5 linked regions of the Macaca mulatta genome follow. The protein of the gene in region 3 interacts with the protein of the main gene of each other region in a pairwise test. Links are inferred from orthologs where the notes say so. Each region holds a gene or a part of one and is shown on either strand. Other genes may lie near its edges. The genes, in order: NUTM1, NDN, P4HA3, ZC3H12A and MAGEC2.

The links.
Region 1: the proteins of P4HA3 (region 3) and NUTM1 interact in binary tests that used the Homo sapiens proteins (3 or more experiments, as listed by UniProt). The two-hybrid records come from large-scale screens. The link is inferred for Macaca mulatta from reciprocal best matches to the Homo sapiens genes P4HA3 and NUTM1.
Region 2: the proteins of P4HA3 (region 3) and NDN interact in a two-hybrid assay, tested with the Homo sapiens proteins (2 studies listed by BioGRID). The link is inferred for Macaca mulatta from reciprocal best matches to the Homo sapiens genes P4HA3 and NDN.
Region 4: the proteins of P4HA3 (region 3) and ZC3H12A interact in binary tests that used the Homo sapiens proteins (3 or more experiments, as listed by UniProt). The two-hybrid records come from large-scale screens. The link is inferred for Macaca mulatta from reciprocal best matches to the Homo sapiens genes P4HA3 and ZC3H12A.
Region 5: the proteins of P4HA3 (region 3) and MAGEC2 interact in binary tests that used the Homo sapiens proteins (3 or more experiments, as listed by UniProt). The two-hybrid records come from large-scale screens. The link is inferred for Macaca mulatta from reciprocal best matches to the Homo sapiens genes P4HA3 and MAGEC2.

Annotation. Positions count from the first base shown.
Region 1 is NC_133412.1:11,535,529-11,541,608, forward strand, and holds the start of NUTM1 (NUT family member 1), read left to right. Parts: upstream 1-2,023; 5' UTR 2,024-2,556; coding exon 2,557-2,638; intron 2,639-6,080. Other genes in the region: NOP10 (H/ACA ribonucleoprotein complex subunit 3), read right to left, coding at 909-1,049, 1,959-2,012. UniProt on the Homo sapiens protein: Plays a role in the regulation of proliferation. Regulates TERT expression by modulating SP1 binding to TERT promoter binding sites.
Region 2 is NC_133412.1:6,263,819-6,269,444, forward strand, and holds NDN (necdin), read left to right. Parts: upstream 1-1,982; 5' UTR 1,983-2,096; coding exon 2,097-3,062; 3' UTR 3,063-3,903; downstream 3,904-5,626. UniProt on the Homo sapiens protein: Growth suppressor that facilitates the entry of the cell into cell cycle arrest.
Region 3 is NC_133419.1:74,711,065-74,716,507, reverse strand, and holds part of P4HA3 (prolyl 4-hydroxylase subunit alpha-3), read left to right. Parts: intron 1-1,447; coding exon 1,448-1,590; intron 1,591-3,231; coding exon 3,232-3,455; intron 3,456-5,443. UniProt on the Homo sapiens protein: Catalyzes the post-translational formation of 4-hydroxyproline in -Xaa-Pro-Gly- sequences in collagens and other proteins.
Region 4 is NC_133406.1:203,321,354-203,327,421, reverse strand, and holds the start of ZC3H12A (endoribonuclease ZC3H12A), read left to right. Parts: upstream 1-2,022; 5' UTR 2,023-2,166; intron 2,167-2,957; exon of another isoform or gene 2,958-2,960; 5' UTR 2,961-2,995; coding exon 2,996-3,444; intron 3,445-6,068. UniProt on the Homo sapiens protein: Endoribonuclease involved in various biological functions such as cellular inflammatory response and immune homeostasis, glial differentiation of neuroprogenitor cells, cell death of cardiomyocytes, adipogenesis and angiogenesis.
Region 5 is NC_133426.1:148,496,799-148,502,755, forward strand, and holds MAGEC2 (melanoma-associated antigen C2), read right to left. Parts: upstream 3,612-5,957; 5' UTR 3,498-3,611; exon of another isoform or gene 3,415-3,497; intron 2,763-3,414; 5' UTR 2,669-2,762; intron 2,361-2,668; 5' UTR 2,295-2,360; coding exon 1,173-2,294; 3' UTR 707-1,172; downstream 1-706. UniProt on the Homo sapiens protein: Proposed to enhance ubiquitin ligase activity of RING-type zinc finger-containing E3 ubiquitin-protein ligases.

The sequences.
Region 1 (6,080 bases), on a different chromosome or scaffold from region 3:
TTGATATCATAGAAAATAAAGATTGCAGAATTAAAATACAGACTCCACAAAACAATTTTAAAATCTATAGCACTAGGCCGGCCAAGGTGGCTCATGCCTGTAATCCCAGCACTTTGGGAGGCTGAGGCAGGAGAATTGCTTGAACCTGGGAGACGGAGGTTGTAGTCAGCCACCACTGCATTCCAGCCTGGACAACAGAGTGAGACTGTCTTAAAAAAAAAAAAAAAAGCCCACCACTAAATCAATGAGTTCAAAGATAAGTTAATAAGGAGAAAAATCAGACTAAACAGGTTAAGTAACTTTCTCAAAGTTATACAAAAAGGAAATATTGGTCTTCTTTCAATTCACTGCCTTCTCTCTATAATATACCTATTACTTTTTCAAGTACTCTTCCATTTTTAATCAAAATGTTATTTCAAGGGATGAGAAATTACGTGACAACAGGGGTATTTTTCAGTGAATGCTGACAGCTGTGAAAGTCTTAATCTTTCTTCCCCAATACCCTCCTACCACTAACAGCACATGACCACTCTTGCTACAGGACTGAAGTTTTTCTTCCAAGTGGTGTTGTTGCAACTCTCTGGAGTGCTCTCGTCCATCATCTCCCTCCCTTTAAAACAATACTACCAATCCTTTCCTCCAACAACACAAAATAAGAGCTTTTCAAATCATTTTATCTTTAATAATCTGGTAGTAACTTAAAATACGAAAAAAAAAGTCAAACGTGTTCCCTTTATGGGTGATGCCACCATGACTGCCTCACACAAGCATGCTCAATCACCAGGATGAGACTGGATGCCACAGAGTATGGCTGGCAAAAAGGCATCAGGGCTCACAGACTGAGGAGTTTGGTTACGGAGTCTCCGAGGGGTAACAGGCCGCAGAATAGACATCAGTTTAAGGGGCCTTCAGAGGACAGGGCGCGGTTGCTGGGTCATGAGCACCTTGAAGCGTTTCTTGATGGTGATTCGGTGTCGAGAGTATTTGTCATCTGGGGAGAACCGAGCAGGATGGGCTGAGCAGGTCTGTTGTCCCATCGGGTCAAATTTCTGCTCCGGGAATAGAGAATGTATGTCAGTACAGGAGTGATGGGGTGGGGACAGCGCGAAAAAGGGCAAACATGAAAACAGAAGATGCAATGATCAGCTCAAAAAGTTGTACAAATAAATAGAGAAATACAAAACTTAAAAAGGCTGGGCGCGGTGGCTCACGCCTGTAATCCCAGCACTTTGGGAGGCCGAGGCAGGAGGATGGCTTGAGGTCAGAAGTTTGAGACCAGCCTGGGCAATATGGCGAAACCTCGTCTCTACAACAAACAAACAAAACCAACCAACCAAACAAAAAAACCCTAAACCAAAAATTAGCCAGGTGTGGTGGCGCACGCCTGTAGTCCCAGCTACTCGGGAGGCTGAGGCAGGAAGATTGTTTGTGCCCAGGAGGCGGAGGTTGCAGTGAGCCGAGGCACTACAGCCTAGGCAACAAAGCGAGTCCCTGTCTTAAAAAAAAAAAGAAAAAAAAAGAAAAAAAAGAAAAGTGAGTGCAATGGCGCTATCCGGGTTTACTGCAAGCTCCGCCTCCCGGGTTTAAGCGATTCTCCTGTCTCAGCCTCCCAGGTAGCTGGGAAAACAGGCGCACGCCGCCACGCCCGGCTAATTTTTGTATTTTAGTAGAAACGTAGTTTCACCGTGTTGCCCAGAATAGTCTCTAACTCCTGAGCTAAGGTAATCCACACGCCTCGGCCTCCCAAAGTGCTAGGATTACAGGCGTGAGCCACTGCGCCCGGCCAATTTTGTTTTTTTAAAATAAAAAATTCGTCGCGCGCTCCCGGTTCTCCCCCACCTCGGTTCTGCACTTTCTGGTTCCCTCCACCCAGCTAGGTAACTCCGTGTATGGCCTCACCCATTCCTCCCATCTACATTTCTCGCCATGCCTATTTACAACCTATTTTCTCTCCTCACCTTCAGCGTATAGACCCGATCTCCCTCCTCGTTGAGGTAATACTGGAGAAACATGACTGCTCGTAAGCCAGAGGTCCCAATTCGCTCCGCTGCTCCGTCTGCAGGGGTCCGCCCGACCGCGTCACGTGTTCGTCAATTTCCTTCCTGCATAGCCGGAAGTCTCTCTCCTGGCACGCCGGAAAATGTAGTCAATTTTTGCCTTATTTTCAGCTAGCCAGAAGGGGGCGCACGAGGGCAGGGCTTGGCTTGGGGGGCCACACTTGCAACTTTGCAGGCTAAAACACGTGGAGTGTGCCTACTGTGTGCTAGGTACACGGCGCTAGAGGGGGGTAGGGATGGATGTGGATAGAACATTGACGTATAGAAGCTTGTCTTTATCTCAAGATACACACCCCTTTCAGGAGCAGTGAGTTTCCAGTGCCTGAAGAAACAAGGGCTCCAGGATTCAGAGCCCCTTTGCCCTAGGGAAGAAGGAAGAGGTTTTCTTCCCTCCCCTCTTTTACATCCAGTTTCCCTGCTCCATTTCAAAGCGTTGGCGGTAAAGAATGCATGTTGAGTATCAATATTCCGTAAAGCGAAAATAGCGTAAAGTTATTTTATGAAACGAAGTATGTTTCAGCGGTCGAACCAAGATTTAAACTTAGGTCCCTACCGCAAATTCAGCGCTCTTTCTTATAGTGGTGAGTAGCTAATAATAGCGTAATAAAGTGCACCTTCTAGGAGATTTTACAATTTTTTAAAGAATATAGAAGTTCTCCTTATTCGTTTAAAGAAATGAAAATGAGAACCAAAATATAATTACAAAGATCATCATTACGCCTTATTTATAATGACAAAAGCGTTGGCATATATGTTGTGTAACCAGAAAAACCTGCAAGGTTTTTTTTTTTTTAGAATATGGTTTGGCCGGGCGCGTTGGCTCACGCCTGTAATCTCAACACTTTTGGAGGCTGAGGCGGGCGGATCACAAGGTCAAGAGTTCGAGACCAGCCTGGCCAATCTGGCGAAACCCCGTCTCTACTAAAAATACAGAAAAAATTAGCTGAGTGTGGTGGTGGGCGCCTGTAGTCCCAGCCACTTCAGAGGCTGAGGCAGGAGAGTCATTTGAGCCGGGGAGGCAGAGGTTGCAGCGAGCTGAGATAGCGCCACTGCACACCAGCCTGGGTGACAGAGTGGCACTCCGTCTGAAAAAAAGAATATGGTTTGTGACCGGGTGCAGTAGCTCAGGCCTGTAATCCCAGCACTTTGAGAGGCCGAGACAGGTGGATCACAAGGTCAGGAGTTCAAGACCAGCCTGGCCAATATGGTGAAACCCCGTCTTTACTAATAAAAATACAAAAATTAGCGGGACGTGCTGGCGGTCACCTGTAGTCCCAGCTACTCGGGAGGCTGAGGCAGGAGAATCGCTTGAACCCGGGAGGCGGAGGTTGCAGTGAGCTGAGATCACGCCACTGGTCTCCAGCTTGGGTGACAGAGCAAGAGACCCTGTCCCAAAAAAAAAAAAAAGATATGGTTTGTATTTACTTGTAGTTGAATAAAAAATCTCTGCAAGTATTCACAAGAAACAGATGATACTGGTTTCCTCTGAGATAGAGAACCTAGTTACAGGAGAAAGGGGTAAGGGGTGGGAGGCAGACTTATTGCTATGTATTTTATTTTGTAGTTTGATTTTTGAACCTTGCTGATGTATTACCTGTTAAAAATTTTTTAAAGGCCGGGCGCGGTGGCTCATACCTCTAATCCCAGCACTTTGGGAGGCTGAGGTGGGTGGATCATGAGGTCAGGAGATCGAGACCATCCTGGCTAACACAGTGAAATCCCGTCTCTACTAAAAATAGAAAAATTAGCCGGGTGTGGTGGCGGGCGCCTGTAGTCCCAGCTACTCAGGAGGCTGAGGCAGGAGAATGGTGTGAACCCGGGAGGCAGAGCTTGCAGTGAGCAGAGATCATGCCACTGCACTCCAACCTGGGCGACAAAGCAAGACTCTGTCTCAAAAAAAAAAAAAAAAAAGTATGTCTAAGTAGTTAATTTTGTTAGAAAGGAAAAGGATGATTTCAGCCTTCAGGTCTTATTAATGAAAGAGTCTTTAGAAAAGAGAAAAGATATCTCAGAGAAAGCAAGAAAGACGCCATGAACCCCAGGGAAGGTCTTTTGGGGGAAATCCACGTTTGGATGAAGCTGTGGCTGTAGAGGATGGTCTGGGAATTACTGGCCTGAAATAGTCACCAGGAACCTTAGCAGATACATTTTATTTTTAAAATTTAAACCAAAATAATTTAACAAAACGAAGGACTTTCTACTCTTGAGGTTTTAAACTGCATGGCAGCTTTTTTATTTAGTGAGGCTTTTCAGCAAAGGGTAAGGCTTCTGTGGAGTACAGAGCCTATGCTAGTAGATTGGACAGCTTTCCAAGGAAATGATGTGCACACAGCAATCGAGCACCTTGGATCATCTGACAATTCTAATTTTAGACTTTAGTTCCCTTGATCCTTAAGTATACAGACCAATGTGGTCTGAATTTAGTTCAGAAAATATAGCCATCATTGGATTAAGTCAGGGGTCTACCATCGACCTGCTGTTAATAGGAAGTCAGTTACAGAACTGGCTGGGATGGAAGGACACAAAATGAGATATGTTGGTGAAGAATTGAAGTATAGGGAACCAAACTCAAAACAGTAATGTGTTGGGAATCTGAGAAAGAATTTACAAATAGCCCTAAAGGGCGAACATCAGTTGTGTTGCCAAACTGTAGTTTGAAGGGAATTCCTGGTTTTTGCGTAGTTACTAGAACCCTTCATGGAATATCTCTCCCCACCCTCACCCCACTTTTCCCTCTCCCCTCCCCCACAGCAGACTGCCTTGAGTTCCATATTCTAGTTCTGTTTGATCTGATCTTTACCTTCCCTTCCTTGGATCCCTGTGCACCTACTTGGAGCCAGGTTACTCTGGGTCCTGGACCTGACTGCCTCATTCTGGAGGCTTCCAGACAGCCACGGTTAGTGCCCAAAGCTGAGAGGATGGCTTCAGATGGAGGTAAGTCTTTAGGTGGTGAGGAGGATTTCTGGTACCTGCTCAAATCCTTTGGGACAAGCTCTTTGGGCTGACCTAAAGGAATGCGAGGTGCTACACCCCATCAAAGGTATCCCACTTGGGGAGGCTAGAGAAGGAGACTGTACCATTAAGACTAGGGGCCGGGGAAGGAAGAGGACCTCCTTAAGGGCAGATCAAGGTGTCTCCGAGGACACATGCTGAGTATAGAGAATGGATGGCAATTAGCAACTTGATTCTCTTGAACAGGGGGCACGTCAGCGTGTGTTCTTGTGGTGGGAGAGGGGATCAGAGGTATGTGTCTTAGGACTGGCACCGAGAGGTTTCAAGGGGGAATGCCCACGTTCATTCATCTGTCTCTTTCAGGCAACTGGAGCCTATTCTAGGATTTTGCCATGCTTGAGCCTATGAGGGGAATGGGATGTGGAGGATGGAGGATGGGAGGGTAAGGTGGGAAGGACTTTAGCGGGAAAACATAATCTGTAGTTATCCGTTGCAGAGAAATGCCTTCCTGAAAACTAGGCTGGAATGTATTATAAACTGCCTCTACTCTGGCCGGGCACGGTGGCTCATGCCTGTAATCCGAGCACTTTGGGAGGCCGAGGCGGGCGGATCACCTGAGGTCAGGAGTTCAAGACCAGCCTGACCAACATGGAGAAACCCCATCTCTACTAAAACTACAAAAAAAAAAAAAAAAAAAAAAAAAGCCGGGCATGGTGGCGCATGCCTGTAATCTCAGCTACTCGGGAGGCTGAGGCAGGAGAATCCCGTGAACCTGAGAGGCAGAGGTTGTGGTGAGCCAAGATTGTGTCATTGCACTCTAGCCTAGGCAACAAGAGCGAAACTCGGTCTCAAAAAAAAAAAAAAAAGAAAAATCCTGCCTCTGCTCAGAGCCTCACGGCTCCTTCCAGCCCTAGAGGTGGCTTCGCTTTGAGTTCAGGAAGCAGTTTTTCCGGATTCATCCGGGCCAGAGAGGTGGGTCATTACAGCCAGGATGAGAGCTGGGGCTTCACCGAGATGCTCTTAGTTTTTCTTCCTTTTATGGATCTCAGGCCTTCAGGCCCCTTTCATTGT
Region 2 (5,626 bases), on a different chromosome or scaffold from region 3:
ATTACAGGCGTGAGCCACCGCACCTGGCCTAAATATTTTATTTAAATAGTTAGAAAATAATACATACCCAAATAAAATAAAGAAGAATATTGATGGAGATTTAAATGCAATAAATGAGGATTATATTTAAGAAGCATGGGGGCAATAAGTCTGTTCAAGAGACATTTTTTTTTTTTTTTTTTTTTTTTTTGAGACGGAGTCTCGCTCTGTCGCCCAGGCTGGAGTGCAGTGGCCGGATCTCAGCTCACTGCAAGCTCCGCCTCCCGGGTTTATGCCATTCTCCTGCCTCAGCCTCCCGAGTAGCTAGGACTACAGGCACCCGCCACCTCGCCCAGCTAGTTTTTTTGTACTATTTAGTAGAGACGGGGTTTCACCGTGTTTGCCAGGATGGTCTCGATCTCCTGACCTTGTGATCGGCCCGTCTCGGCCTCCCAAAGTGCTGGGATTACAAAACAATGAATTAGCATATTTCTGTAAGATGCTCCCAAGAAAGTGGTAAATATCCATAAATAGAGGAAGGAGAAGGAGAAGTAGACGGAGAGAAGAAGGACGAGGTGGAGGAGGAAGAGGAGAAGGAGAAAAGTGTTGAAATAATTCCAACTAAGACTGATATCTAGGAATTACCCTGGTGAAGTGGGAAGCTAAAGAGCCTGTTGGAAGGACTGGTGTGGGAATGGCTCTGCCAAAAGTGTTATGTGCATGCAAACCCAAAGAGAGAGAGCACAGAAAACCCTTCAACATCAACCTGCTTGAGGAAAAATAAAGTGACAAGTGGGAAAAGATACATACTCACAGCGAGGACTCTAGACATGTTAAGACAATTTTTAAATGTGCTTTTGGCTTCGAGTGGCAATAATTAGACTCAACATATTTAAGAAGCTACTGATGAGAAGAAACGCTGGAAGCGCTGAAGGACCACATCAGCCCAGACCAAGGATGCTGAAGCAGCATCAAGGCCCTTGGTTTCAGAGGCTCCACCAATGACCCTTTTTTCAGGGAGACCCTGTAGGAGCGAGTTTTGTCTTTGCCCAGTGGGAATCTGTCTTCTATACTTAGAAAACAGGGTTACCCATGTTGCCCCTGCTACCCTTGGGTCATCTCAGAGACACTACCAGATATTACCTATGAGACCTAGTTGTTTTTTTTTAAATCTCAGGAAGGACTTGGGTGTGGCTTCCAACGTGGAGGACTCAGTAGCTTCAGAGAGGGTCCTGGGAGAAGGTGAATCGGAGAATAAGGGTGCTGGGCAGAGGGAAAAAGACATTATTATACAAGTTTGTGCTAAAAGATATAGCAATCCTTCTGCTGTGGACTAAGTATGGAAAAAAATAAAATGGAATCAAAGTGACCCAAAGGAAATGTAAAACTCAAATTTATGCCCACTAAAGCATTAATGATGCTCTAAGTCCGCTGCCTACTTAAAAGGTTCATAGTTCACATGGGTTGACAGGAAATTACGTTAAGGACACGCTGCATTTCTCCTTTTCTTACAACCCCTCTGATTTGGTAGGGAGGGAGTCAATCATTTTTTTATTGGAATTTCTCAGGATTCCAACTTCAGACATACACTTTACACATTTTCTTGGACAAGCCCGACTGTTCCTCTCACTCGTTCGCATAAAGCTCAAGTTTACACAGCCGCCCAGACCTTTCTCTGGGACGCTCATATTTAACTTAATTCTGGATATATCAGGTAAGCGTTTCCCAAGAAACTTGACCCCAACATCCCAAAAACTTAAGTTATCATCTTTCTCCTAAACTGGCCCCTTCTCCAGTACGCATCCATCGCACTCTTCTCCTGCCCTAGATCCCCTCAGCCCAAACGGGAAACCCCGGGATCGCTCTCTCCGCAGGTGAAGCTTAGCCAGGGACCCTCCCCGTCGGGGCTCCGCGCTGCCCCGCCCGCCCCCAGCCGCTGGCCAAGGCCGCAGTCGCGCAGGCGCAGTGCCGCGTCCCGCCGCCGCCCCGCCCTGCCCGCCGCTGCGGAAGGCGCCGCGCACAGCAACGCGCACTTCCTCTCCAGGAATCCGCGGAGGGAGCGCAGGCTTGAAGAGCTCCTGGACGCAGAGGCCCTGCCCTTGCCAGACGGCGCAGATATGTCAGAACAAAGTAAGGATCTAAGCGACCCTAACTTTGCAGCCGAGGCCCCCAGCTCCGAGGTGCACAGCAGCCCTGGGGTTCCGGAGGGGGTTCCTCCGTCCGAGACCCTGGCAGAGCCGCAGAGCCCTCCTTTAGGCCCGACGGCCGCCCCGCAGGCCGCGCAGCCTCCCCAGGCCCCGAGCGACGAGGACGACCCGAAGGCCCTGCAGCAGGCCGCGGAGGAGGGCCGCGCCCACCAGGCCCCGAGCGCGGCCCAGCCCGGCCCGGCCCCGCCAGCCCCGGCGCAGCTGGTGCAGAAGGCGCACGAGCTCATGTGGTACGTGCTGGTCAAGGACCAGAAGAAGATGATCATCTGGTTTCCAGACATGGTGAAAGATGTCATCGGCAGCTACAAGAAGTGGTGCAGGAGCATCCTCCGGCGCACCAGCCTCATCCTCGCCCGGGTGTTCGGGCTGCACCTGAGGCTAACCAGCCTGCACACCATGGAGTTTGCGCTGGTCAAAGCGCTGGAGCCCGAGGAGCTGGACAGGGTGGCGCTGAGCAACCGCATGCCCATGACAGGTCTCCTCCTCATGATCCTGAGCCTCATCTACGTGAAGGGCCGCGGCGCCAGAGAGAGCGCGGTCTGGAACGTGCTCCGCATCCTGGGGCTGCGGCCCTGGAAGAAGCACTCCACCTTCGGGGACGTGCGGAAGCTCATCACTGAGGAGTTCGTCCAGCAGAATTACCTGAAGTACCAGCGCGTCCCGTACGTGGAGCCGCCCGAGTACGAGTTCTTCTGGGGCTCCCGGGCCAGCCGCGAAATCACCAAGCTGCAAATCATGGAGTTCCTGGCCAGGGTCTTTAAGAAAGACCCCCAGGCCTGGCCCTCCCGATACAGAGAGGCTCTGGAGGAGGCCAGAGCTCTGCGGGAGGCTAATCCCGCTGCCCACTGCCCTCGCAGCAGTGTCTCCGAGGACTAGCCAAGTCTGGAGGCAGATGAATGCTTTCTGATCCTCACCAGGGCTGTGGAAGGGTGGGGGTGGGTCATTAGAGTGTTCAGGATTTACAGTGCAGTATTCACGTGTAACTTTTACGTTTTCAGTACAGTGCTTTTATACCTTTAATGCAATGTTGTGTTCATTTGGGTACTATTGTGTAGTATTTAGGATGTATGCATGTTTGTTTATATGTAAGCTTGGTTGGTGCTTTCGCTTTTGTGGTACCTTTCTTGGATTTTTGTATCAGAGACGTGCTAAACTGATGAAGTACATTGAGAACGTTTCCATCTTATTAATTTACATGGGACTGAGATGTGTGTTGGGGTAGACTGCTCCTGCAGAGTTTGGAAAAACTCACCAGCAAAGCCGGCCTAACCAAGAAATGTCAAGGCCCTCATGACCTTGCTGGGGACTGAAAACATCCTCGTGGAGTAAACTAATTTGAACTGGACTGGTCTCAATGTGAGAGCACTTGGCACACTTTACTAAACACATATACAACCCCACCGTGAGTCAACTTTAAAGTAAACATTAAAGATTCTTGTGATACAATCATTTCTGGAAGTGTACGTTATCATTTTAACAAAGCAGTATGGTTGGGAATGAGACAATTCTCTGTTTTACAGTATACACAGATATAACTATTTCCCCTAATGGGGTGGGAAAAATCGCTACTCATGATTACTCCTAAATTTGTGAAGTTTGTAGTTTTGTCTTTAACTCATGTTTATTTCAAAAACATGCACAAATATAGAAAAGCATAAAAAACAAAACAGTAAGATTGTCCATAATCACATCCTATGGGAATAAAAACCAAAAATAATTTCCTTCCCTTAAGTTTCTACATTTTATCAAAATTAATAGATGCTTTGTGGGCACTTAAAGAGTGAGACATTGTACATGAGCCCTGACGTGTATTTTTCTCCTTTTATCTAATCCTCACAACAGGCCTGTCAGGCAGGCAAGAACTGCCTCTGCACCATGGAGGAAACACAGGAATAATGTAGGTAATGGACTTTCCATAGCTCATACAGGTTAATAAGAGAAGGCGCTAGGACTAGAACTCACAATGAATCCAGAGTCCACATTTGTCCCCACCTGCCTTCAACTCCCCTACACCCTGTGGTTTTTAGGTTATTTATTTTTAACTTTATATTGAAATTTCATGTGGGAGCCCACACTCACATGGGTTCATGGGCCACACATACAAAAAGGCTAGGAATTTTATTTTTCTAATTCTTAGGATATTTTGGAGAAAGCAATATCATTCTGATTCTGCAAATTAAGAAACTTACTTTTGGAGAGATTAATTAACCTAATAAAGTGATATTCCTGTTGAGCAGTGAAGCTGGGATTGGAAACAATCTTTCCTGAGGGTTGGAGGTGAAGGTGCTTTCTCTGACAAACACACAAGACACCTAAGAGAGGGAGGTGGGTTGCCCATCAGGATGTCTCGGGCCTCGCAGCCCTTGAGTTGCGGTGAGCCACTAGGTAATCCTCAGAGGATGGGATGGGCTGCAAGTGGGCTTTAGGGGCAATGCCTGAAGGAAAATCTCATTGTGAATTTTTAGTCCTGCAAGGGGTAAGGGGGACAAAAGGGGCTTTAATAAGAACAGAAGTCCTTTAAACTACAAAAGAGTGGGAAAGACCATTTGGCCAAAGCCAGAAACTTTTCTGTGGAAGACTAATAATGAAGAGGACACGTGTCACATAACACCTCAAAGAAGTAAACTGGGAGTCCTATTAGGGTGAGGGAATTATAATTTGGATTGGGAGCTGGAATTCCCAACACTTACTGGCATTACTTAACAGGTGGGGGCGGGTGCTGGAAATGCTGAAGCCCCTGTTCGTGCTGAGATGAAATCCATCCCAGTTTAAAAGCTTCTGGTGAAGTCTTTCAAGGGGGTTCTGTGGGGAAAGGGGGACATTTCTGCAATCACCCAGGCAGGAGTGACCTGGCTTTGATGGCACCTCTTACACAAAACCAATGTGAACGTCTCACCTCTTCAAAAGTGTTAGGATTGTTTAGAAATCTTACCTCCCCACAACCCATCAAAAAGTTTCTCCAGAATCAAAATAAATCTGCCCCTTATCATTTAAAATTGTGGGGATATCCAGGATGTTTCGTTTCTGGAGTAGGACTATGGGCTGTTGTTCCTGCCACACACAGTGCTGGTCATTTTCTCTAATGCCTTAATACTCCCCTCACTGCTGGATTGATGCCTTGCAGGAGCTGTAACCCCTGTGGACTTCTTGCAGTCAAGCCCAGAAATCACTAGGCAAACAGTCCCTTTACATCCCCATTTAACTCCTTGTTTTGTGTCCACTTTCCCTCTCTGCTGTGAGAGGCACGGAGAACCACCCTTTCCAAAGCTGTCCCAAGTTCATTCACACAAGCACCCTAGCCAGGCCATAGAAGACCTAGCCTTTACAGGAGAAACAGAATGTCAGAATGTGAGAAAGGAGTAAGGCATGGGGCAGAGCGACTCTTCCCCGATGCTGCCTAGGAGGCAGCCAGACCTAGAGAAAGAGGCTTCCAGATGTAA
Region 3 (5,443 bases):
ATTTCCTTATTCAGAATTTTTTCCTTAGCTCCTAGGAGAGTATTCTTCATTCATTCTTTCATAGAAATATGTATTGAATTTAGGTATAGAGTGATGAGAAAAAAAGTTATTTTCTTATCTGTGAAATCCTTGAGTATTGGACCCCATCTTGCTTTTGTATCCCTAGAATCTAGCATGGAGTCTGACATCTAGCAAATAACTAGTGTAGATTGACTTACTACAAATATATCTCAAGCCTCTGTGCCTTTGTACACTAATGGTTCCTGTTGGCTTGAAAAATACTCTTCTTCTCTTCTTTGTTCTAGCTCCTTAAGAAACCATATAGCATAATCAGCTGAGAACTCAGGTTTCAGAGTTAGTCAGACTTGGGTTCCATCCTGGCTTTGCCCTTTACTAACAGTGTGGCTTTGTTTCTGTTTCCTCTCCGTGGAATGGGTAAAATTAAATCTACACTAAGTGTAGGTCCGAAGGTGGGGGGCGATTAAATGAGACAACCTATTTATAGCGCTCAACAGGCCAATACATGGTAGGAGCTCAATAAGTCATAGCTTTCAGTATTTTAACAAATCCGTTCAGATTCAGATCAAATGCCATCTCTTCTTGGAAGCCTTTCCTTCCCCCTTCTAACTCCCACCTGGGTGAGCTGCCCTGCCTGCACAGCTGCAGCATTATATGCTCACTTCTCTCATAGCAGAGACGTCCCCAACCCCTGGGCCAGGGACTGGTACCAGTCCATGGCTGGTTAGGAGGCGCCCCCCGCCCCCCAGCAGGAGGTGAGTGGTGGGCAAGGGAGCATTACTGCTTGAGCTCCGCCTCCTGTCAGATCAGTGGCGGCATTAGATTCTGATAGGAGCGTGAACCTTATTGTGAACTGCACATGCGAGGGATCTAGGTTGTGTGCTCCTTGTAAGAATCTAACTGGTACCTGATGATCTGAGGTGGAACAGTTTCATCCCAAAACCATCCCCTAATGCCCCTGGTCCGTGGAAAAAATTGTTTTCCATGAAACTCATCCCTGGTGCCAAAAAGGTTGGGGACCACTATATAGCACACATCACAGTGGCTATAATTAATTCAATAGTGTTTTTGAGTTTCTACCAGATACTAAGTATTGCATATACAGTGATGACAGGAGAAAAAGACTTTGTGATCCCTTTGAGAGCTGGACCCTGTCTTGCCTTTATATCTCTAGCATGGTGCCTGATATACAGTAATTGATTAATATAGACTGACTCATTCAATGAACAAAAGAGCAGACCTACTTTTGTTGTATCTATAGTTTTCATATTCTTTGTGCTTGCATGGCTTTTTGGTTGGACTATTATGTGAATCTCAAGAGGTTCAGCATGTCAATGTTAGCTACTCTTAATGTACACACACCATGCCAGCTTTCCCTAGGTGTAGTGGTCGTATCAGGAGGTGAGATCATTCTACTCCTTTCTTTCAGATTCTATGACAAGGTACTTTCTTTGCATGAGGATTCAACAACCCCTGTGGCTAACCCTCTGCTTGCATTTACTCTCATCAAACGCCTACAGTCTGACTGGAGGAATGTGGTACATAGTCTGGAGGCCAGTGAGAACATCCGAGGTAATGAGGAGGAGGGCTGGAGGGTAAGAGAGAAGATTCTATCTCCTGACTGGTGGTAAGGAGAGAGATTCTGTTGGGGTGTGATTTCAAAGGGTAATGGAGTAGGTGGGTATTACTTAATATCCTTAGTTCTAGCTAGCACAAAGAATTAGCCCCCCTTGCTAATCGGTTTGTATGATTATACATTATACATTATACAATCCTGTGACGAAGTACAAGATAAATCCTTCCATTTATATATGTATAGAAAATAACCGTCTTCTAGTAGTTTCTGTTTCATTAAATTGTCACTACAGTGTCATCTATAGCAAGATCACTTTCCCAATTTATTCTGCTTTGTGCTTTAAGAAGTTTGTTGACGGCCGGCCCAGTGGCTCATGCCTGTAATTCAGCACTTTGGGAAGCTGAGGTGGGCTGATCACTTGAGGTCAGGAGTTCCAGACTGGCCTAACCAACATGGTGAAACCCCGTCTCTATTAAAAATACAAAAATTACCAGGATGTGGTGGGATTACATGCCTGTAATCCCAGTTACTCAGGATCTGAGGCAGGAGAATTGCTTGAACCCGGGAGGCAGAGGTTGCAGTGAGCCAAGATCGCACCACTGCACTCCAGCCTGGGGCGACAGAGTGAGACTGTCTCAAAAAAAAAAAAAAAAAAAAAAAAGTGTTGACTTTTGGGCTGGGCGCAGTGGCTTATGCCTGTAATCCCAGCACTTTGAGAGGCTAAGATTGCTTGAGCTCATGAGTTTGAGACTAGTCTGGGCAATATAGCGAAACCTATTAAAAATACAAAAATTAGCCAGGCATGGTGGCACATGCCTGTAGACTTGGGAAGCTGAGGCACAAGAATCGCTTGAACCCAGAAGGTGGAGGTTGCAGTGAGCTGAGATTGAGATTGCACCATTGCACTCTAGCCTGGGTGACTGAGCAAGACCCTGTCTCAAAAAAAAAAAAAAAAAAAAAAAAGAAGTTTGTTGATTTTTGGAAAGCTAACAGTGAGAAGAGGCTGGGTGCGGTTGCTCTTGCCAATAATCTCAACACTTTGGGAGCCTAAGTTGGAAGGATCACTTGAGGCCAAGAGTTTGAGACCAGCTTGGGCAACATAGCAAGACCCTGTCTCTACAAAAAAATGTATTTAAATTAGATGGATGTGATGGCGTGTGCCTGAAGTCCTGCCTACTCAGAAGACTGAAGTGAGAGGCTCACTTGAACCCAGGAATTCAAGCACGAGCTATGACCATGCCACTGTACTCCAGCCTAGGCAACAGAACAAGATCCTATTTCTATTAAAAGAAAGAAAGAAAAGAGGAGAGAAGAGAGAAAAAAAGAAAAGAAAAGAAAAAGAAAAAGAAGAGTTGTTTCCCTAAAGAGCAAGACTTCTGGAGACATACAGGATAGGACAATATAATGAAGCCGTGTGCCTTAATTTTTATTCCTCATTCACTCATTCTGAATGTTCCTCATTCAGAATTGCATTAAGCATCCACCCTGTGCCAGGAACTGTGCTTGCCTCTGGGAACACAAAGACAAATCCAACTTGATCTCACTAAATATTTGAACAGGTGGTCATGCCTTGCATGTATTAAATGCCCAACTCCTGTTTCTTGAATGACAGGTTGATGTTTTTACTACTTTTACAGCTCTGAAGGATGGCTATGAGAAGGTGGAGCAAGACCTTCCAGCCTTTGAGGACCTTGAGGGAGCAGCAAGGGCCCTGATGCGGCTGCAGGACGTGTACATGCTCAATGTGAAAGGCCTGGCCCGAGGTGTCTTTCAGAGAGTCACTGGCTCTGCCATCACTGACCTGTACAGCCCCAAACGGCTCTTTTCTCTCACAGGGGATGACTGCTTCCAAGTCGGCAAGGTAACAATATTCGAGAGAGGACCAGTTGCTTGGCTCTGGTTTCTTATGGATGAAATACCTGTGTCCCAATTGCTTTTACTTCTTTTTAATACTTACAGTAAACTGGGAAATTTGATATTTCCATTTTCAGAGAAAGAAAACAAGATTCAGAGAATGTAAATAATTTGCCCTAAGATTATGCAATTTTAAGTGCAGAACTAAAGCTTGAACCCAGTCTTGACTCCAAATCTCAGGGCCTTTCCATAGTAATAAAGGTGTTTATATGCTTAGGACACTCTTGAGATTGAAAGGGGTGTTATTAATTATGCTAGAACAACAGACATGAACTGGGGAAAATGGTCCTTTGGTCACCCTAACTATAGCACCCGGCCAGTGCATGAACCCTTGGGTAGAAAGGGAAATCAGGGGGTCAGGGACACAAGGTTGGGGAAAAGGATAAGAGATGGTGATGGAAAGGTAGGATCATGGAAACAGCCTCCTGAGACTTTCTGGAATCCAATGCAACATTTCCTAAGCATTTAGAAATACAAAATTAAAATAGTGTCCAAAATCTAAGGCCATTTGCTTTAACATTACTTGAGGAAATAGACTTCAGGAACACCCCCCCACCCATCTGAGGTCTTTAACCGATCTTTGATTATAAGTTGTAATCACACTTGAGATCATTTTGTAATATACTCTTTGCCAGCCTTTGCCATAAAAAGCAATGGAGCAAATCCATTTTACCTTTGAAGGTGTTTATTGCAGTAAGGTGTATTTTTCCTGACACCTACAGTATTTGTCAACAGATCTGGGAGTGGGTCTCATGTGTCCTGATTCCAAATTTTGGGAGTCAGTCTTCCAAATTAAAGCAGAGTGGGCTGCTTGAGTCTCTCTACTTACCGTTTTCTCTTTTATGGGATCCTGAGCGGAATCAGAGCTCAATCATCATGTTCATGGCTGATTTAAATTTAAGCCAGGTAAATAGTTTGATGTATGGTACTAACATATTCTTCATTAGTGAGGCCTTTCTGAAAGTAAAGCCATATGTTGAAAATTTAGTAAGTCACTTCCTGGAAGTCTTACTGGCAATCTTTCTTTCTGTATTTATTTACTTATTTTGAGAGAGAAAACTTTTCAAATATAAGAAAAGGACATAAAATAATATAGCAAGCAATTATATCTATCATTGTCATGGATATATGTTCAGATTTTGCTATGTTTGTTTCATTTTTTAAAATATATTTTTTAAAAAAAAAACATGTTACATACAGCTAAAACCCCACTCATCCTCCTTACCACTCACCCCACCCCTTCTGCTCCACCCTTGCCCAGGTAGCCGTGATCCTAAACCATATAGTATATGCCCTTCTGAGTCCAGCTTCTTTCACTCAGCACATTGTATCTGTGGAATTCATCCATATTGTATCATTTGTTAGTAGTTCATTTCTTTTTATTGCTGGGTAGTATTCCATTCTATGAATATGCCACAAACTGTTGATCCAGTCTTCTGTTAACAGATTCTTGGATTGCTTCCAGTTTGGGCTACTGTGAATAAAGCTTCTGTTAACATCCTTTTATGTCCTTCTATGGACATTTATTCTCATTTCTCTTGGATGAATACCTGGGAGTGGTATTGCCAAGTCACAGAATAAGCTTCAATAATTATCAACATGTGGCCAAATTTGTTTCATCTATACTTCCCCAATCCCTTCCTCTATGGATTATGAAGTTTCTAGTTTATGAAATTCTTTTTTTTTCTTAGGGTTTGGCTCTGCCATCCAAGTAAGTACAGTGACACAATCATGGCTCGCTGCAGCCTTGATCAAGTGATCCTCCCACCTGGGGGGACTCAAGTGATCCTCCCACCTCAGCCTCCCAAGTAGCTAGGACTGCAGGTGTGCCCAACCATATCCAGCTACTTTTTAAATAAGGGTCTCACTGTGTTGCCCAGGATGGTCTCGAACTCCTGGCCTCAAGTGATCCTCCTGCCTCAGCCTCTCAAAGTG
Region 4 (6,068 bases), on a different chromosome or scaffold from region 3:
ATGTGAGGCGCCCAGCAAGGGATGTGAGCTGTACATGGCAGGGGGCCTTGTGTTTCCTCTCTCCTCAGGTTGCCAAGCCCCTGGAGCTGCTGTGCCTGGGGGGCACAGAGAAGGGAACACTTTGGGGTCTTCAAAGATGAGCAGGCAACAAAGCAGGAACACGGCTAGGTAGGGGCAGGCAAGCCCCGAGGAACAGCCTCAGGGCCCAGCTAGAGACGCACATGCCTGCCTCCCTGAGGTCTTTGGTGGCCTCCCAAACAAGCAGGTGTGGATGGGGAGATGGACTGCCTTGGAGAGAGCTACATGAGTTCCAGCTCCACCAGCCCCCAGAACCTGAGCAAGTGACTTCACCTTTCTGAATCTCTGAACATGCATTTCCTCCGCTGTACAACTGCATTAAGATACATACAAGAATATCCAAAGCACAGTCTTTCTAATAGAAAAAAAATCCTAGAAACAACATCCAACAACAGGTGAATGAATAAGTAACCAGTGGGATATTCATAAAACGGGACACTATTCAGTAGTAAAATAAATTACAGGTATGCAGGCAATCAAAATGGATTTTTGAAAATATAATCCTATATGAAAAAGGAAGTCACATAATTATGGAATGATTCCATTTACACAAAGTAAAAAACAGCAAAACTATACAATATCCCATTTAGGGATGCATACAAAGGTGGTAAAACTACAAGAAAAGCAAGAGAATGACTAGCACAATTAAAATTCAGGAAACTAGTTCTTCAGGATGTCGGGGGAAGGCTGTGATGGGGGCACCCAGAGGGCCTCAAGGTACTGGCACTGGTCTATTTTTTAAGTTAAGTGATGGATACATGGCTTTTTAAATTATTACTATTATCCTTTAAGCTGTACATGTACAGTTGTGTCTATGGTGTCTTTTATAATAAACAAGTATTTATTATAACACTAGCACTTATAGGACACATGCCTATGATGAAGTAGAGAGAATGTAAGAAAGGACTGGCACATGGTAAGCACTGATGGCATGCGGCTCTGTCCTCCAGCGTGTGGGCCCTGTGTTTTCTCTCTCTCTCTCTCTCTCTCACACACACACACACACACTGGAAGCCAGGCTCCCCTCTGCCCTCAATCACCCGTGGTTCACAAAACGGCAAATAATAGGAGCACTAGAATAGGAGCTCTCCATCCTGGTTCGAGTCTTTCCAGCTGGGGCAGTTTAGCCTTTGCAGAATTTCTCAAGGGTAACATCAGCATAATGACCTCTGTCTGTAAGCTCGCGAGTAGCTACAGTGAAGTGTTGTGCTCATGCGAGAAATCAGGTCTGACCTGGGAAACTAAAAGCATCTTCACGGAGCAAGGGTGTTCCTCCAGTGGGGGCGGTCAGTGAGTTCTGCGGTGTGGGTGACAGAATTCTTGTGTGGACACTCATGTGGTGATTGGGGTAAATGGCCCTCTTTTGCCTGGTTTTCTGCCTCGGTCATTGTGCATCTGCTGGTTGAACCTGCCTTTCGGTCCTAGTAAGGTACAGATTTCAGGAAAAGTGTACCTGTCCCTGGGGGTGGCCCACCTCTGTGTGATGGCTTCAAGCACAGCGTGTCTTGAGGGGGCCTGACTCCATCTGGAAAGGGTCTGTCTGGATGTACCTGTCTTTATAACCATGGACCTGCCTCCAAGGTGCGTGGACCAACCTCTGTGTACCTGATTCACTCGATGCGCACCTGGCCGTAGCTTCATCAGGCAGGGTGTACCTGTCAAGTTCTTAGGTCCGAGCGTTCGCGGCTTTACTCGTCCTGGACGCACCTCGGTCAGTGCGTCCCCGGCAGGTACGTGTACCTGGTTCAGTCCGTGCTTATCTTGCGCGTTCGGGCCGCTCAGTGTCCCGCTCGGAGCTCATCGCCGCCGCGGCCTTGAGGCGGCGTCCCCAGGACCCTGACGCCCTGGTTGGCCCCGTCCGGCGCGCAGCGGCCGCGGGGGCGGGGCCGCGACGCGAGGGGCGGAGCAGGAAGGGACTCGAGGCCCCGCCCCCAGGGCGGTTCCGGACGGCCCCGCCCCTTGCCCGCTTCCGCGTCAGCGCTTCACCACCACCTGCCCGCGCGCCGCCCCATATAAAGGAGCCGCTGGCCTTTCCCCCGGGATTCGGCCCCATGGAGACGCCGCCGGCCGCGGCTGGCGCTCGGCGGGGTGAGGCGCGGCGGGGCGCGGGCCTCGGCGGGGAGGCGGCAGGGAGCGCTCTGGCGGGGTCCGAGCCGAGCCGAGCCGAGGGGAGGGGAGGAGTGGGGAAGGGCGGGGTCCTGTTATCCAGCCCGCCGGGCCTCAGTACCCCTCCAACTTAGCCCAAGTTGAGAGAGCCGGAGAAGAGCACCGGATCGGGGACCGAGCGGGCTCGGGTCTCGGGCCGGGACAGCCTCGGCGTCACCAGCTCCCGGCAGCCAACCAGAGTTTCCCAGCAACTTTTCTCCCCGCGGGTCACCCCGGAAACTTGCCCTCCCCGGCTCCGGGAGTCCGGCCACGGGCCTTGCGCTGCTTGGGCCTGAGCTCTGAGTGCTGGACGGGTGGGCGAAAGCGATGGCCTCAGTGGGGAAGCCCCGGGCCTCGCGACGCACTTCCAACCCCAAGATTCCATCTGAAAACCCCGTCCCGCCTTCTGGGCCCCCTGGGTTGGCGTGGGGATTCGAGTCTTTCCAGCTGGGGCAGTTCCAGTCTTAGTTCAGACTAAGTTCTGATCTTCGAGCCACCAGCTAACAGCTGGATGACCTTGAGCAAGTTTTTAATGTCTGTGGGTCAGTTTCTCCCTTTATAGAATGGGAATGGGAATGGGAATGCCTAGCTGGGAGAGCTTTTGAGAGGACAACCTGAACTAATAACATGATGTAGTGTGTAGTGCCACCCATCCCTCATCTGCTGGGTGTGGTGATGGGAGGGAGGGTGGGAGAGAGCGCTATTCCCCGTCCCTAACCCTGTTGGTTGTTCAGTAGGAGCTGTGGTGTGGTGCCTTCCAGGAGTCTGAGCTATGAGTGGCCCCTGTGGAGAGAAGCCTGTCCTGGAAGCCAGCCCCACCATGAGTCTGTGGGAATTTGAGGACAGCCATAGCCACAGCCGTCAGGGCACCCCCAGGCCAGCCCAAGAGCCGGCAGCTGAGGAGGCCTCGGCGGTGGAACTGCAGATGAAGGTGGACTTCTTCCGGAAGCTGGGCTATTCATCCTCGGAGATCCACAGCGTCCTACAGAAGCTGGGCGTCCAGGCAGACACCAACACGGTGCTGGGCGAGCTGGTGAAACACGGGACGGCCACCGAACGGGAACGCCAGGCCTCACCGGACCCCTGCCCTCAGCTCCCTCTAGTCCCGCGGGGTGGGGGCACCCCTAAGGCTCCCAACCTGGAACCTCCACTCCCAGAGGAGGACAAGGAGGGCAGTGACCTAAGACCAGTGGTCATCGACGGGAGCAATGTAGCCATGAGGTAAGTGTCGCTTCTGTGGCCGAGACACATGAGGTTCGCATCTCTCTTGTGGCCAGGACACATGGAAGGATGACTGTCTGCAGCTCTGGTGGGCTGGAAGGAGTGACTGTCTTCTTAGGGACTGGTCTAGAGGGAGGGAAAGCCTTTTATGAGGCTTGCCTAGGGTCGTGCTACTGGTGACAGAGGCAGGGTTCCAGCCCAGGTCCCTCTGTCCACAGAGCTCGCCTTATGCTGTGGGTCCCTCCCTGAGGCCAGCACTGTCTCGGCTCCTCTTCTGTAATGTGAGGCAGGGCTGTAAAGGGGACCAACCCTTGGGCAGCAGCTCACTCACCCTCTGAACCTGATCTCCTCAGGTGGGTGTTGTGAGGAGGGGTTATGCGGATCCTGGAGAGGAGCAAGCGTTCGGGAACCAAAGTAGTGGTAGTAGGCAGTGGTAGTAAGCAGTTGTTGTTGTTGTTATTTCAGGGGCTGGGCTTCTGAGGCCTTCTTGTCTCAGACCTAGGCTCCCACAAAAACAGGTCCAGCGACTATGTCCAAGAGTGACCTCAAGGCTAGGTCCAGTTTTACATGGGTTGTGGGCCAGTGGCCTAATACTCTGGCCTCAGGTGAGCTGCGACTTGGATCCCCACTGATTCAGCTGAAGCAGCCTGGGCTGGACTGGTCTCTGGAGGTTCCCCGGGGCCAAAGCCAGGACTCAGCCCCCAGTGACTCCCACCCCCATCCCCAAGCACAGGAATGGGGTGGGAAGGTAGGGGCAGAGGGGGAAGCCAGGGCTGCTGCTGACCTTGGGGAACCCAGACTTCTCCTGTCAATCCAGGCCCCACCCTCCGGCCTAACTTTTTCCCAGTTCCCTCCAAGGCAGGCTGATGAGTCAGTGTTGGGTGGATGGCTCACAGGGAAAAGTTCCTGTTGGCATGGATGGGGAGACCCCAGACACGGGGTTGGGAAGGGCTGCTTTTCTGGCTGCCCCGAGGGAGCTCCTAGGTGGGCTACCCAAGGCTGGCATGACATCGGCCTCTGCCCTCTCTGATTTGTGGCCCCCGTGGGACAAGTTCACTGTCCAGCTGGCCCTGGCCCGGCTCAGCAGGCATGCAGCTGAGGCCTCTTCCCTCCTTCTGTCACCTTCAGGCCAGTCTTCCTCTCTCTGACTTGGGCTGAGCCTGGGTGGGAGGCTGAGAAAATCCAGTTTCTATGCCAAGAGGCAGCAGGTTACAGCCTGTGCTTCGAGATTAGGGGGGCTCCCTCTCAGTGTCCAGCCTCATGTGGCTGGGCTAGGAGCTAGGTTGGATCTGTGTGACTCCTTCCTCTGGAGGCGTGGGCCAGGAGCGGCTGAGCCCTGGGAGCAGCCGAGTGCGGTGTGTGTTTGTATCCAGAAGGAGGAGGGACATGGGAGGAGGGGCTGTGATGTTGGGGGGTGCTCAGAGGAGCCTGCTCCTGAGAAGCAGAGCTACGCACCCACCTCGGGGGTTTCTGAGCTGGGGTAGTGGCAGGAGGGGAATTCCAGCCTCAAACTTCCTGTCTCAGCTGCTACTCGGTTCCTGCCCCGGCCACCCTCCTCCCCAGGGGCAGGCGGGCTAGCCCCCATCCATCATATGCAAATTATGGGGAAATTCACCTCTGTTTCCTTCTAAGGGAATTTTTCTCCACTCACCAGGCCCAGCCCAGGCATATCTTTTCACCTGGGGAGGCTGGCCCAGCCCTGCCCTCTGTCCTGGGGCAGGAGCAGTCTAGCTGGAGTCTTCTACACACACTTCCTATCAGTGTCTGCTTCGCCAGGCTGGGGGACCCTGACCTTACGGGCAAAGAGGACTGGGGTGGGGGCAGGGATGTCTGGTTTTCCTGTGCCAGCAGCGCTTCCTCCAGTGCAGTGAAACAGACTAAAGCTAGCTGTAGGGGGGCACTCCAGGCCTCATGTGCTGTACCAAGAGGGCTCTGATAGCACCCACTGATCACAGTTTTTCCATCTGCTGAGGGAATATTCAGGTGCTAGGGCTGCTGAGGACCGACTTGTCCCCAGGCAAGATTTTCAATGCCCAGAGGCAGTGCACTGCCCTGGGAGCCCTGGCATCCCATTAGTTCCCAAGGCTCCAAGATACCAGCCTAGGATCACGTGCCCGGAGGGAGGCGGGTGGGTGGATACATGCGCACACTGCATACCTGAGAGAAGGAGCTGGGCCTGGGGTGACCCAGCTGCCACGGTTTTGAGAGGCAGGGCAGAAGGCCCAGGGAAGGGGATGATGTGATGGGGGAAGCACTGGGCATTGTGAAGACACAGACCAGGGACCTGACCCATTGTGGCAGGTCAGGGAAGGCTTCTCAGAGGCAGTGACATCTCACAAGCATTTTGAAGGAAGAGCAGGAGTTTGCCCCCAGCATTGTTTCTCCCTTTCGCCGCCTGTCTCTTAGAACACACTTTGTTTAAACTTAATTTTGGGAGCTTTGTTCTCCCAAATAAATTCTGGGTCTTCTGTTAGAGACAGGAAGGCAACCAAGTGGCCCAGACCTGGGTTCCAGTTCTGAATGTCTCTTACCACTAGCCAGGTGACCTTGGACGAGTCCCAGAGCCTTTCTTTCCTTCACAGTAGCAAGCCCTGTAAGAATGAAGCCATATATCTGGCTGCCAG
Region 5 (5,957 bases), on a different chromosome or scaffold from region 3:
CATTAGATTCAAAATCACCTAATTAAATGGCCTTTCCATGGAGTAGGCTCTGGCTCTCCCACGCCAGGTAAGTGAGTCAGCCTAGAGGCTTCTGGGCACCACTTCAAGGGATTATCACTACATTTCTCAGGAAACCCTTGCAGATGATGGATATCAATCACCTGGTTCTTGCACTGTGTTCAAACTCACCAGTTACAGAGCCACAGGACACCTTCCATTACTTCCCCATGTGGAGACTCCTCTCTGCTTCATCCTCCACCCAGAAGCAACTGCTCAGAGCAATTTCCCATTCCAGGCTCTTCCCTCACCCTCCGAGAGTCTGGTCCCAGCCACCACCCAGCTTTGTAACTACCAGCCCTCAGAAAAGCAAGTGCAGTTTTCCAAAGCCCCAAGCTGCCTTAGTTCAAGACCTTTACACTTGAAGGCTTGCATGTGGAGTCTCACCTCCCCAGCCCCTTTTTAACTTGTTCTTTAGATTGTAGAGAACATCTTACCACCTTCTTGATATGGCTTCTGCTCCTAGACTCTACTGTTTTATGGATAGAGATAAGTCATGCTTTCATTAGCATCCCCACTACTAACAGTGACTTCCACAAGCAAATACTGAAAGAATGCTCAGCAAATAAAGGAGTCAGTGGGGCTTTCTTTTATTAAGATTTAATTTCTGCTACTTTCTTCAACAAGCTAAGCAAAGCCAGGTATATATCTTTAATTTTCAAGAACAAAAGAATAAGCAGGACAAGGAAATGAAAATATTGACCATCCTTCACGTTGTCCCACTATTTAACTGCTGAGTTATTGCGTATTGTAAAAAACAAACAAACAAACAAACAAAAAGCCTATTACAATACCACACTACCCTGTTACTGATCACAAAATAAGGGAGAAGGTATTTCCATTTTTTTTAAACAAAATATCAAACTGTTACTCTTAAACCAGATAAACAGCAATACATGTGTGACCAATATTCATAAATTAATGCTCTGAAGCTAACTACCTGCTATTCAAAGGAAAAGCATTCAAAAAGTACTGAAAAACAGGTAAATCTCCACATCGCCCATATGGGACAGAAATGCAAAGAACATTATGTTCCTCGAGCCCCACCTGGCCCTCCACTACCTAGAACCTAAACTGCCTTGTTCAAACACAGAGCGCAGAAACTATTCTAGACTTCACTCAGAAAAGGGGAGGTTGCTGGACATGACACTGAGGCTTTCAGTGGCCATGACAGTGGCATCATCTGTGGTATCAGTCATGGCCTGGGCTCTCTCTTCCACATCTTTCAAAGCATCCTTGTACCAGGATGGAAAGGAACTAGGGACAGTGTTGTTCAGCTTGGCTAAAAACTCGAGTACTTTACTCTTGATGCTTTCTGAATGGGCTCTCGGACCCCACAGGAATTCATAATATGGAGGAGAACTGTTTGGCACCTCCCGACACTCCAGGTATTGCCCCTGCACCCAAACTTTAGTGAGGAGCTCCCTGGGCTCCCCATAGATGAAGTGCTCCCTCCCAGCATACACCCCTATTGCATTCAGCACTTCCCAGATGACCTCCTCAGAGGCAAAGCTGCCCTTTATGAAGATCACACTCAGAATAATAATCAGGAGGCTGTTCTCCGGCATGCCCTCGTCATCACTACCCTCATCAGTGAGGTCTACTGTGTTTGCAAACACAGAAAAGTGGTCAGGGCCCACTTCTATCAGAGCAAGGCCAAAAAGGAGCTCCATGAACTCACGGGCTCTCTTGAGTATCACAGGAAAGTAGTCTTTGTACTTGATGACAATCATCAGCATCTCTGCCTCTGTTACAGGCTCCTCTGCTTTGTACCTGAGGAGCAGGAACGCCACTAACTCGGCCACCTTTTCATCTAGTGTATGTGTGAAAGAGGACTCACTGTCTGGCAGGCCCTGACAGGTACTTGTATCCTCCTCTTTTTGGCTGCTGGACTCTTCACTGAATGAGCTCCATGAAAAAGAGGAGCAACAGGAGCTCAGAGGACTCTGGGAAGGACCCTGTGGAGGACTCTGTGGAGGACTACTGGGAGTGCTCTCGGGAAGACTTGGTATCACATCAGACGGCACCTCCTCCTCAGGACCACCAAGAATCAGAGAAGAGGATGAGGAGAAGGAAGAGGGGGAAAATACTAAGTAGAAAGTGGAAGAGGAAATGGAGGAGGCTTCCTCCTCTTCCTCATCTGTGGGATCCTGTGCATCTACCCAGTCCTCTGACTCAACTGAGGCCGGAGAGTCGTCGTCAACGTTGTGGAATGGAACGCCCGGAATGGGAGGCATAACGACTTCTTCAGGCGCAGCAGGTAAAGGTATCAACAGGGATATGGATGATGAGATCCAACAGGCCTGTGGAAGAGAGTGACAGTGTGAATGGCCTCAGCTGAGAAACTCACCCATGATGGCTCTGACAAAGGCCAACTTAGAGCTCTTCTTCTCTTAAGGTGGTGCTCTAGGGCCTCACAGGTCTCCTGTCTTCCTAGGGAGTTTGTCTGCTGGCAACCTGTAGGAGGATGTGGGAACACACCTCAGGGCACAGCTGGCAGGCAGAGCCTGAGACCCCAGGAATAACAGTAGGTGGGTACCGCCGGGTGCTGTGGGGTCTCCTCTGTTTCTGGGGGTAGGGCCCTTGGTACACAGTCAGGGTGTGCACTCACCTTGACTCCTGGCACTGCCTGGGTCTCCTCTGCTGTGCTGACTTTAGGATGTGTGCCTCACACCCAGTTTGTCACCACCTGGTTCCTGGAGCACCTGCAAGAGGAAGTGACGGAGCCCCTCAGGTTAAAGACTACAAGTAGAGTCTTGGGCCTCCCAGGGCTGACAGCTGGGGCTGGCCAGAATCCCAGAGCCCCATAGTTCTGGACTGCATGGCCCCCTCAGAATTTAATTGGAAACCTCACGGCTTCTCAGAGAGGGTCAAGCCCCCACCACTCTGCTGGCCTAAGGCAAAACCTCCTAGCAACCTCCACATCCCTGAGAGCAGTGGGAGGTAGTGCAGTGGCAGCCACCTCCCAGGACTCTACCATGGAGGTGGTCTGGGTGGCCTCACGTCCGTTCTGATGCACATGTGACTCCTGTCTTCTGTCTTATCGCCAGCAGGGCCTGGGAATCTTCCCTCTGCCAACCAGAGGCAGCTCCCCGTGCTGACTTGCCACGGGACCCCCAGAACAAGGCCTCTGCCTCCCCTCCATCCCTCACCCAGAAATGAGATGGCTGCCACTCAGCCTGAGCTGGCAGGGGAGTTCTACGAGGGCTGATTCTCGAGGAGCAGGGTGGGAATCTGTGGGAATCTGTCCTCTGAGATGGGGGTTCCCCCAGTCCTCCTCAATGTCTTCCTATTTATTCCCTAGAGGGCTGGCACCTCCTCCCTTCTTCTGTGGGCATTTTCCTGTCTGGGACCTACCAGTCCCACTGCAGCGGCAGTGCAGGCCGGGATTTCATCTCTCTATGGTGGGAGGTCCCTCAGTTCTTCCTCAGGGCCCTCACCTTGTGGACTGGCCAGGTCTAAGACTCCCCGCCGCTGACTTGATTCGAATCTCCTTGCAAAATGCCTCCGATCCTTTGGATTCCCAAGATGGCCGTCTGGAAAGCACATCCGGGAACCCGGCCGTAGTGGTCCAGGGCTGACGGCAGCGTCAACGTGGGGCGGGGCCTCCTCTCTGGGGAGGAACCACTCCCCACCTCTCCGCTTCTTTTCCATCCCTTCCTTCCCACATCCCAGCTGCCCTCCAACCCTTCCTGCTCACTCCCTAAACCTTGTGGACCTTTTCACTCCCACCTCCCCAGTCCTTGACATCCCACCCTCCTTTTTCCAGGGGTGTCAGCAGGGAGCGACTTGGTGCAGCCTGCACCTCCCCTCCGTGTTGGGAGGTCACCGTCCTTCCACATCTCTTCTTGTTTTCTGGCCAGTTCTGGGACTTCTCTCTCTGCTTAACTGAAGCTGCCCTCCTCAGAGACAGCCTCCCCTTCTGCTGACTCCCAAAATAGAAGTAAGAAAATTGTACATCTGGGGACCCTGATGGGGTCCTCCAGAGTTGGCAGCAGGCACAGGGACAGGACAGAGGGCACTACCGGTCATGGGTGTTCCCTTCTTGCCCTCCTGAGAGGCTGTGCCTGGACTCCTGAAATGGCCTGGACTCCCTGTCTCTGTGCATCTGAGTCTTTCACCTGCGAATAAGCCCCTCCCATCCCTGAGACCTGCAAGGTGGAAGAGAAGTAGAATCACATCCACCCACAGTGGGATAGGGCCTCCTGGCCCTAAGGCAGGCCTCCACTGCCCTCTGAAATGGGGTGGGAAGGCCCCTATGGCTTTCTCAAGGTATTACTTCTAAAAGAGCCTATACTCCTTCCTTCTCCTGTCCAGACAGCAACATTTGTTCCTTCAACTTCTAAATTCCATTCCAAGTTTTTCTACTTTACTGCTGTGAGTGAAGTTAATATCATCTCTCCCATAGCCTGTGTGTTACAAGGCTTCCTTATTGTTGCTTCTTTTCCTATTCTAGTCCCTGAACAAAAATCACTGTCTTTTCAGCAACCCGTGACCCTTTAAAAAAACAATACGTGATTAAAGTTTTAAATACACACATCAGATTTAACTAGAATGTGAAGTTATATGTATTTTGGAAAATGCATGGAGTCCCATATCTGCAAATCAAGTATCATACTGACCGGTTCCACCTGCCTAAAATTCTCCTGTGCATCCCGGTTGATGTCAATCACTGCACTCTACAAAGCTCCTAGCAACTCTCTTCTGTTTTCAGTTCCTATAATTTTAACTTTTCTAATTTGTCATATGATTAGCTTCATAAAATACTGACTTAAAAGTATGCCTGTACTATTTTTTTATCACAACTAGCAAGGAATGAGAAATTCTGTTATTCTATATCTTCTCTTACATTTAGTATTTTAGATTTTCAGGTTTTAGCCATTCTCATAAGCATGTATTGGAACCTTCTTTGGTTTTTGTTTGTATCTTCTTAATGACATGACATTGGTCATCTTTTTATATGCTTCTTTTTTCGTTTGCTATATTCCCTTTTGTAAAGTGTCTATTCAAATCATTTGCATCTTTTTATAGATGAATAAACTTCATTTTTAGAGCATTGTTAATTCAAGAATACAAAGAGAAAACTTCATCAGAATTAGAGTTCCTACATGTCTACACCACCCGCCCTGCACTGTTTACTGCACACACACACGCACAGAGTCTATCTTTTTATTTACATTTTGTATTATTATGACATGTTTGCTACAACTGATGGACCTGTATTGATACCTCATTCTTAAGTCCATTGTTTACATCAGGACTCACTCTTAATACTGAGGATACTATAAATTTTGGTAAGGGTGTAATGGCAAGTATTCATCATTGTGTTATCACACAGAATTGTTTCACTATCTTAGAGCTCCACTGTGTTCCACCTAATTAATCAATCCCCCTTGCCCCAACCCCAACCCTCAGCCCCTGGAAACCAGTAATGTTTTTAGTGTATTCATCCTTGCCTGTTCCAGAATGTGGTATGCTAGGAAGCCTTTTTAGATTTTCTTCTTTCATTTAGCAGTATGCTTTCATGAGTCCTCCAGGTCTATCCCACTAACAACGACTGAAAGTTCCTGTTGGTCAACATGCATGTCAACATTTGATGTTTCAGTGTTTTAGATGTCAGCCATTCTCCTGGGTGTAGAGTGCTATACACCCAGCATCAGGGAGGGGGGCCTCCTCTCTGCGGAGGATCCACCCCCACCTCTCCACCTCTTTCCACCCTTTCCTGCCCTCCTCTCCACCTCCATCCACTTTTTCTTGCCCACGTCCCTACTCCATTGCACCCATTACTGTTCACCTTCTGCCCCCTTCTACCAGTTCCTGTCCATCTCCCCACTCCTTCCCACCCTTTCCTACCCACCTCCCTACCCATTCCACCCATTATGGCTCACCTCTTCACCCCC